Linked DNA regions of Saccharomyces cerevisiae S288C. The main gene of each other region encodes a partner of the protein of the gene in region 2 in a complex. Each region holds a gene or a part of one and is shown on either strand. Other genes may lie near its edges. A codon is read from its position in the direction of its gene.

Region 1 (4,013 bases), on a different chromosome or scaffold from region 2:
TTTGTATCAGAATTGGATGTCGAATGTAATGTTATTGTAGATGGGAAAGAACTTCTGTCCACCCCATTAAAATTTCATGTTGAATTTTCTCCAGAGGATTATGAAAATGAAAAAAGACCTGAGTTTGGTACTACCTTGCGTGTATTGAGGCTGAGACTTTACCACTACTTTAAAGATTGCGAAATATATCGCGATATAATTAAGAATGAGGGCGGTGAAGGGGCAAGAAAGTTTACGATTTCCAACGGTGTCAAAATTTACAATCATAAAGATGAACTACTGCCATTGAATATCGATGATGTTCAATTATGTTTCCTGAAGATTGATACGGGAAACACGATAAAATGCGAATTCATACTATGAAAGCTTCCAAAAAAAAAAAAGAAAAATCAATTGCTAAATGCATACATGCAGGTAGGCACACACACACACACACACACACACTCACTCACACATGCACACGCACACACACATATATAAATATATACGTACTATGTATGTCAGTTTTCGACCCTAGGAACCCCTATTTGGTTGTGATGAAGCTGATTTTCGCACCAACACCACAGTTTCATTATCTGCGTCAATCTTGGTTCATAGGGAAATTCGGAAGAGTAGTAATTATTGAATTCTAAACCTTTTTCCTTTCCATTTGAAGAGGAAAGCAATTCAGAAGTTTGATTCCAGTAATTTTTATTTTCTAAGTTATGAAAAGTTGTCGCCGCTGAACCTGTGCCAACATTTCCATCCCTTTGATTTAGCCAAACTGAATTAGCAGCAGCCGTGACCTCGTTGCTTGACATCTTTTCGTTGATAGGTTGGTCAGACGAAATGTGAGTTATTTTTGTACCATTTGAACCATTGACGAGATTGTTGTTATACACCGTGAAGTTCTGCGTAATTATTTTCTTGTCGGAATTTAACAAATCTGGAAATTTGGAATTATTATTGCTGATCTCAAATTGAATCCTTGGATGAATAAACTTCAGCAGCTTCTCATTAACCAGATCTGCTATCTTAGATCTTAGAGATATCGAGTACAGATTTTGTAACGATTTGGGCAGCTTAATGCTGCCGCTGTCCGCCGAATCTGACAAGGGGAAAAGCAGCAGAGTCATTGCTAATTCTAACTCTTGCATCTTTTTGACACTTGACGAAGCCTTTATTGCAAGTTTATTTTGAGAATACTGAATTAGATTGAGTATAAAGTCGTTGGAATCCTTGGTGATGTTCTCCTGTTGATGGTGACTTCTTATCATCTCGATCAAATTCAGTAACAGCAGTTTGAAGTGTAAATCTCCATCTATGTCAAACTGCTGCTGCTGCTGCTGCTGCTGCCTGTCAGTTCTACCCGTATAACTTCCCGTAGCATTGAAAGTCTCTTCCAGCACCTCCAGCCCGAAGATAGAGTTTATCTCCTCCATCGCCTCATTGATACGCCCCAGCTTAATAAGATGTTTGATATGGAAACGCTCCTTGATCTTGTACAAATCATTGAAAACCGCAATGTCTTTGTTGTTCCGTATAAATCCCAGCTCCTTGGCCATCCTAATGCTCGAGTCTTCATATGCCATAGAAACAAAGTAGTTCAACAGAAGCCGTGGCAGTGTGGGCTCTATGGGTGTGGTCTGTATGGTAGCAAATCCCTCGTCCTGCGAGCCGCCACTGCTGTTGGGCTGAATTTTCAGCGGATAATGTATTGTCTTATTTGCATATAGCTCGCCCATGGCAGAATACTTGGCCACCTGCTCCTTCCATTCTTCCTTCGTGAAGCACTTCTTTCCATACGTAAAGTCTTTCCCACCATTCTTGCCTTGGCCGCTGCAAGATCCGCTCTTCGTGGTCTCGTTACTAAGAGTAGATATAGTCATTTCTATTTGTTACCACACACAAATATATCTTCATCCGGCTGATATTTGTCTCTACTGCCCCTTTGCTTGCAATTTAATGACCAAATTACACATGTTAGCTTCAAGAAAAATGATGTACCATCAAAATGTCTCCTGCAACGAACCGGGGCACCGCGCCGGCAGAGTCAGGAAAGCGAGATCGACACTGATAGTGATAAACAGCAACACAATGGAGCGATTACCATTCACTCGGAACGGATCCGGACAACAGTCAAATAAACTCCGGGATCCCAAAAAGGGCCGTACACACAAACCCAAGCCGAGCGAAAAACACAAAAAAAATAAAACAGGGAAAAAAGGAGCGCAAGAGAAAACGCACAGGAGTAGGAGCAGCAGAAAGGGGAACTAATATGGTTTTTCCGTTTGCTTATTTTTATTTTTTTGTTGAGTCATGGGCACGTCACCGCACAACAGCCGCCGCAGGCCTGTACCGCTACGCGTCTATCACTGCGAAACATCGCTACTTCTGTCGCCGCGTCGACGCTGGTCCAGACCACAAAAGGATGCACGATCAGAAGCACTGTACCCTGCAGAGTTGGAGATAGTGTAACCGTGACTTCATTTTTCAAGCGTGGTTTCACATTCTTTTTGCACCGCCCTTATCTCAGATATAGTTTCGTTCGGTTGCTTTGCTTTCCCCAACTGAAGGTGCTGGATGGCGGTTTTTCCGGCTGCTGCGATTTTCCCTGCGCGGGGCCCGGCGCGGAATTGTGCAAAAGCTAAAACTCAACGGTTATTTTGAAATATAAGGTTATAAGCAAATTTCCTAAATTTGCTTAATTGTTAATGCAGTTGTTATTGCATTAAGACATTCGGCTATCGTTTCCTTTCTTCGTGTCGGCAATCTTGTATAAAAGTTATTTTTTGAGTTTCAGTTTCTTGTATATCTTGGTATATATTGAAGGAGGATTTTTTCTTTCCTGGTCCTTTTACTTCCTTGCGTCCCCTCATATTTCTTCTATTTCCGTTCACGGCGTTTTTTTATTTTCTCCATCTACTTTTAGTGATTTCCTTTGCTCTAATATTGTTTTCGTTCATAGTGAATTGTTTGTTTTCACTTTAATAAAGGGCTTTTACGACTTGTCTCAAAAAATTTCATCGAGATGCAAGCCCCCAATATCTACCCCTTCTCTCAAACACAGCCACAAGCACTGCCCGGGTTCACATACGGTCCTCCACAACTTGTTTTTGACCATTCTGCTCCGAGAGTAGATCCTTTGCATTCTACTGTAACTATAAATTCTCCATTACCCTTGCAGCATTATAATGGACCGAATGCCCATATAAACAGCGCAAACAACAACTACGCATACTACTATCATCATCCCAACAATAATGATAACAACAACCATAGTAACAACACTATAAAAAATAACAACATTAATTCTGTTCTTCCCGCCGTTAATATTCAAATATCCAACAACTCACATTATAGAAATACACACCAAATTCCTTCTGCTCCTCAGCGGCTGGTCAGCATCATACCGGATCCCCACATGCCGCCCAATATTTCTCACTTTCAGCTAAATAATATTCACCCTCAAATGCATGCTCCTGTTGCTACTGATATTCATTTCCAACAAGTACCAGTTTACAATAAAACCAATAATGGCATTGGTACTGATAACATTAATAACGATAAACCCGTAAACTCGAATCAGAATGAAGTGCTGGACAATATTGATGAACGTTCCTGTCATGAAATTAACAGGGTAGTTTCATTTTCTAAACATTTTGAAAACAACGAACTTACCACTACAGCAAATGATCTAAACATTCAATCTACTATGGATGAATTAGCTAAACTGAAATCTTTATCAAATTCTACCCATTTCAGGCAGAGTATTGCTACTCAGAATTTCCATTCTTTACAAAATCATATCACAACCATCGAAAACCGTCTGGCTTCTTTACTTACTGACAGACAACAAGAGCAGCAACAGTTGAAGCAGCAAGAGTCTGAAAAGGAGAGCTCTTCACCGTTTTCCAATAAGATAAAGTTACCTTCCTTACAGGAATTAACTGACTCCATCTCCACCCAACATCTTCCAACATTCTATGACAATAAAAGGCATGCTTCGGATACCGATTTAAAGAGTAGCACCT
Region 2 (4,585 bases):
ATCTCTTGGCTCTGGATCCGTTATCTGTTCTGTTACACAAGAAATCGTACATTTACAATATAGTGATAATCGTGGACTAGAGCAAGATTTCAAATAAGTAACAGCAGCAAAATGGCAAGACAAAAGATGTTTTATAACAAATTACTCGGCATGCTCAGCGTAGGATTCGGGTTTGCTTGGGCGCTCGAGAACATTACTATATACGAATTTGACTTTGGCAAGGGCATTCTCGATCAAAGCTACGGCGGTGTATTTTCAAACAACGGCCCTTCGCAAGTGCAGCTGCGGGATGCAGTCTTGATGAATGGGACAGTGGTATACGATTCAAACGGCGCTTGGGACAGTAGTGCGCTGGAGGAATGGCTCCAGGGACAGAAAAAAGTTTCCATCGAAAAAATATTTGAAAATATTGGGCCCAGCGCCGTGTATCCGTCTATTTCGCCTGGGGTCGTGATTGCGTCACCATCGCAAACGCATCCAGACTACTTCTACCAATGGATAAGGGACAGCGCGTTGACGATAAACAGTATTGTCTCTCATTCTGCGGGCCCGGCAATAGAGACGTTATTGCAGTACCTGAACGTTTCATTCCACTTGCAAAGAAGCAACAACACATTGGGCGCTGGCATTGGTTACACTAACGATACAGTGGCTTTGGGAGACCCTAAGTGGAACGTCGACAACACGGCTTTCACGGAAGATTGGGGTCGTCCTCAAAACGATGGGCCTGCTCTTCGAAGCATTGCCATCTTAAAAATCATCGACTACATCAAGCAATCTGGCACTGATCTGGGGGCCAAGTACCCATTCCAGTCCACCGCAGATATCTTTGATGATATTGTACGTTGGGACCTGAGGTTCATTATTGACCACTGGAATTCTTCCGGATTTGATCTATGGGAGGAAGTCAATGGCATGCATTTCTTTACTTTACTGGTACAACTGTCTGCAGTGGACAAGTCGCTGTCGTATTTTAACGCCTCAGAACGGTCGTCTCCCTTTGTTGAAGAATTGCGTCAGACACGCCGGGACATCTCCAAGTTTTTAGTGGACCCTGCGAATGGGTTTATCAACGGCAAGTACAATTATATTGTTGGGACACCCATGATTGCCGACACATTGAGATCCGGACTGGACATATCCACTTTATTAGCTGCGAACACCGTCCACGATGCGCCATCTGCTTCCCATCTTCCGTTCGATATCAATGACCCTGCCGTCCTGAACACGTTGCACCATTTGATGTTGCACATGCGTTCGATATACCCCATCAACGATAGCTCCAAAAATGCAACGGGTATTGCCCTGGGCCGGTATCCTGAGGACGTATATGATGGATATGGCTTTGGCGAGGGAAATCCCTGGGTCCTGGCCACGTGTACCGCTTCAACAACGCTTTATCAGCTCATTTACAGACACATCTCTGAGCAGCATGACTTGGTTGTCCCAATGAACAACGATTGTTCGAACGCATTTTGGAGCGAGCTGGTATTCTCCAACCTCACGACTTTGGGAAATGACGAAGGCTATTTGATTTTGGAGTTCAATACACCTGCCTTCAATCAAACCATACAAAAAATCTTCCAACTAGCTGATTCATTCTTGGTCAAGCTGAAAGCTCACGTGGGAACAGACGGGGAACTAAGTGAACAATTTAACAAATACACAGGGTTTATGCAGGGTGCCCAACACCTTACCTGGTCCTATACTTCATTCTGGGATGCCTATCAAATAAGACAAGAAGTTTTACAGAGTTTGTAGACAAAAAAAAAAATAAAAGGAAAGCGAGAAGTATACACAAGTGTATTTCCTAGATATTTACATCAAATATATATATATACTTATTTACAAAACTCTGATATTATAAATTGATTAGATACTATGTCGGAACGTCCAGCCCAACCACGTTTGCAGTTCTTTTCACTTTCTCATCCTGTGTCAACTTGTTGCCAGGATTGTATCTGTCGACCAGCTCCTCGTATTCTCTTTGGTTGTCCAAGAACTTGATGATGTCCAAAGCGTGTTCGAATATCTCGTCAACGTTTTGTCCCTGGGCCACCTTTTTCTCCCACTTTATATCGTTTTGTAATATGGAACGTAATGACTTAGAGTCGGCTATAAACAAATTCAAAGATCTGTCGCTTACCGGATCTAGTTTTTTCCATTTCTCTAACTGTCTGTTGATGTTCTCATGCGAGTCTCTCTGATTTTGTTTCTTAGCATATTCCAACTTTGTTATCATTGCCTTTCGTAGATTGCCCCAATTGACTATCTTGCTTGGCCTTTCATATTTCAGAATGGCTCTTATGAGTCCTCTATATGTGCGTAATGTTCTTGGTCTATCCATTTCCCTGGCACTCTCTCTTTCTCTCTCTTTTCAGCTTTTTGTTATCCACTTATCGCTGCAAATGAAACTCTAGTGCAATTTGAGATATTCACTTTTTGCAAAGGCGAAGAGAAGGGGGTGGTTAAATCTACAATTTCATACATAAAACAGAGAAAATGATTATAAATTATAGGAAAGTAGGTAAGCCATGGCAGAGAAATCAATATTTAATGAGCCTGATGTGGATTTCCATTTGAAATTAAATCAACAATTATTTCATATTCCTTATGAACTACTGTCCAAACGTATCAAGCATACTCAAGCGGTAATTAATAAGGAAACCAAATCACTACATGAACACACGGCCGCATTAAATCAAATATTTGAACATAATGACGTTGAGCACGACGAGTTGGCACTAGCAAAAATAACTGAAATGATTAGGAAAGTTGACCATATAGAAAGATTTTTAAATACGCAAATCAAGTCCTACTGTCAGATTTTGAACAGAATTAAAAAAAGGCTGGAGTTTTTCCACGAACTGAAGGACATCAAGTCACAAAATTCAGGAACATCGCACAATGGAAATAATGAGGGTACCAGGACTAAATTGATACAGTGGTATCAGAGTTATACAAACATTTTAATTGGTGATTATCTGACGAGGAATAACCCGATTAAATACAACTCGGAGACAAAGGATCATTGGAACTCTGGCGTAGTGTTTTTGAAACAGAGCCAACTGGATGATCTCATTGATTATGATGTCCTCTTGGAGGCTAATAGAATTTCGACTTCGTTACTACATGAGCGTAATCTCTTACCCCTAATTTCATGGATAAACGAGAACAAAAAGACACTGACCAAAAAGTCCTCTATATTAGAGTTTCAAGCAAGATTGCAAGAATATATTGAACTACTAAAGGTGGATAACTATACCGACGCTATAGTATGTTTTCAAAGATTCCTTTTACCATTCGTTAAGAGCAACTTCACCGATTTAAAATTAGCATCTGGACTTCTGATTTTTATCAAATACTGTAATGATCAAAAGCCAACTTCTTCTACCAGCTCTGGATTCGATACTGAAGAGATTAAGTCTCAAAGTTTACCAATGAAGAAAGATCGAATATTTCAACATTTTTTTCACAAATCTTTACCTAGAATTACCTCCAAACCTGCGGTGAATACAACAGACTATGACAAGAGTTCCTTAATAAATTTACAAAGTGGAGATTTCGAAAGATATCTGAATTTATTAGATGATCAAAGATGGTCGGTATTAAATGATTTATTCTTGAGCGACTTTTATTCCATGTATGGCATATCACAAAATGACCCTTTATTGATATACCTGTCACTAGGTATATCGTCTTTGAAGACAAGAGATTGCCTGCACCCTTCTGACGATGAAAATGGAAATCAAGAGACGGAAACTGCCACAACAGCAGAGAAAGAAGTTGAAGATTTACAACTCTTTACGCTACATTCACTAAAAAGGAAAAATTGTCCCGTTTGCAGTGAGACTTTCAAACCAATAACACAGGCATTACCATTTGCTCATCACATTCAGTCTCAATTATTTGAAAATCCAATACTATTACCAAATGGAAATGTTTACGACAGTAAAAAATTGAAGAAATTGGCCAAAACATTGAAAAAGCAAAACTTAATTTCTTTAAATCCAGGTCAAATTATGGATCCAGTTGACATGAAAATATTTTGCGAATCAGATTCTATCAAAATGTACCCAACCTGAAATAGTTTCAAGCTATATGCATTTTTTTATATAAAGATTTGTCCAACTTTCACAACTATTTTACAGATACTTACGCTATATAAGAATTAGGGAAAATGAAAGTTCTTTCATCAACATGGCGACATTCTTCCTTCTGTACTTAGTCTGAATCAGAATCTGTGTCTTTTTTGCTTTTACGGTTATGTTTTGAACTATTCGAGACATATTTACTAAAGATGTAGAACCTAGCATCACGTTCTTTCGCAGGTTTTGTAGTATCTTGTTCGCTATTCGTTCTCCGGTGATGATATCCTGGAAAATTTTCCCATTGGAATTTGCTCGATCTGCTCAGAGTTAGTCCATTTTTTTTGGCTAAAAGTTTGATTTGCCATGAATCATAGGGCTCTCCATCGAAAAGGGACAGTATGATGTTACCATAACCTTCGGCGGTCAATTTTTTAGCCTGGGGAGTATCCTCATTAAGATCATAGCCTTGCGTATAACGAAGAGTATCATTTTGA

The links. The genes of interacting proteins can lie anywhere in the genome.
Region 1: the proteins of FYV10 (region 2) and GID8 are in contact, whole or in part, in a cryo-EM structure (PDB 7NS3), measured with the Saccharomyces cerevisiae proteins. Residues at the interface, in NP_012169.1 of Saccharomyces cerevisiae: Tyr243 (codon at 3,261), Ile247 (codon at 3,273), Phe250 (codon at 3,282), Gln251 (codon at 3,285), Phe262 (codon at 3,318), Leu265 (codon at 3,327), Lys266 (codon at 3,330), Ser269 (codon at 3,339), Gly270 (codon at 3,342), Leu272 (codon at 3,348), Ile273 (codon at 3,351), Phe274 (codon at 3,354), Lys276 (codon at 3,360), Tyr277 (codon at 3,363), Gln310 (codon at 3,462), His314 (codon at 3,474), Lys315 (codon at 3,477), Ser316 (codon at 3,480), Leu317 (codon at 3,483), Pro318 (codon at 3,486), Phe344 (codon at 3,564), Arg346 (codon at 3,570), Tyr347 (codon at 3,573); in NP_013854.1 of Saccharomyces cerevisiae: Asn220 (codon at 1,211), Leu224 (codon at 1,199), Ile227 (codon at 1,190), Ser230 (codon at 1,181), Gln231 (codon at 1,178), Ala235 (codon at 1,166), Ala238 (codon at 1,157), Ser239 (codon at 1,154), Met245 (codon at 1,136), Gln246 (codon at 1,133), Leu248 (codon at 1,127), Glu249 (codon at 1,124), Leu250 (codon at 1,121), Met252 (codon at 1,115), Thr253 (codon at 1,112), Leu256 (codon at 1,103), Lys272 (codon at 1,055), Leu274 (codon at 1,049), Met357 (codon at 800), Ala366 (codon at 773), Asn367 (codon at 770), Ser368 (codon at 767), Val369 (codon at 764), Trp370 (codon at 761), Leu371 (codon at 758).

Annotation. Positions count from the first base shown.
Region 1 is NC_001145.3:538,189-542,201, forward strand, and holds GID8 (glucose-induced degradation complex subunit GID8), read right to left. Parts: upstream 1,869-4,013; coding exon 501-1,868; downstream 1-500. Other genes in the region: ERG29 (Erg29p), read left to right, coding at 1-363; GAT2 (Gat2p), read left to right, coding at 3,011-4,013. UniProt on the Saccharomyces cerevisiae protein: Component of the GID E3 ligase complex recruiting N termini and catalyzing ubiquitination of proteins targeted for degradation.
Region 2 is NC_001141.2:177,893-182,477, forward strand, and holds FYV10 (glucose-induced degradation complex subunit FYV10), read left to right. Parts: upstream 1-2,534; coding exon 2,535-4,085; downstream 4,086-4,585. Other genes in the region: SGA1 (glucan 1,4-alpha-glucosidase), read left to right, coding at 112-1,761; FMC1 (Fmc1p), read right to left, coding at 1,880-2,347; BMT5 (25S rRNA (uracil2634-N3)-methyltransferase), read right to left, coding at 4,225-4,585. UniProt on the Saccharomyces cerevisiae protein: Component of the GID E3 ligase complex recruiting N termini and catalyzing ubiquitination of proteins targeted for degradation.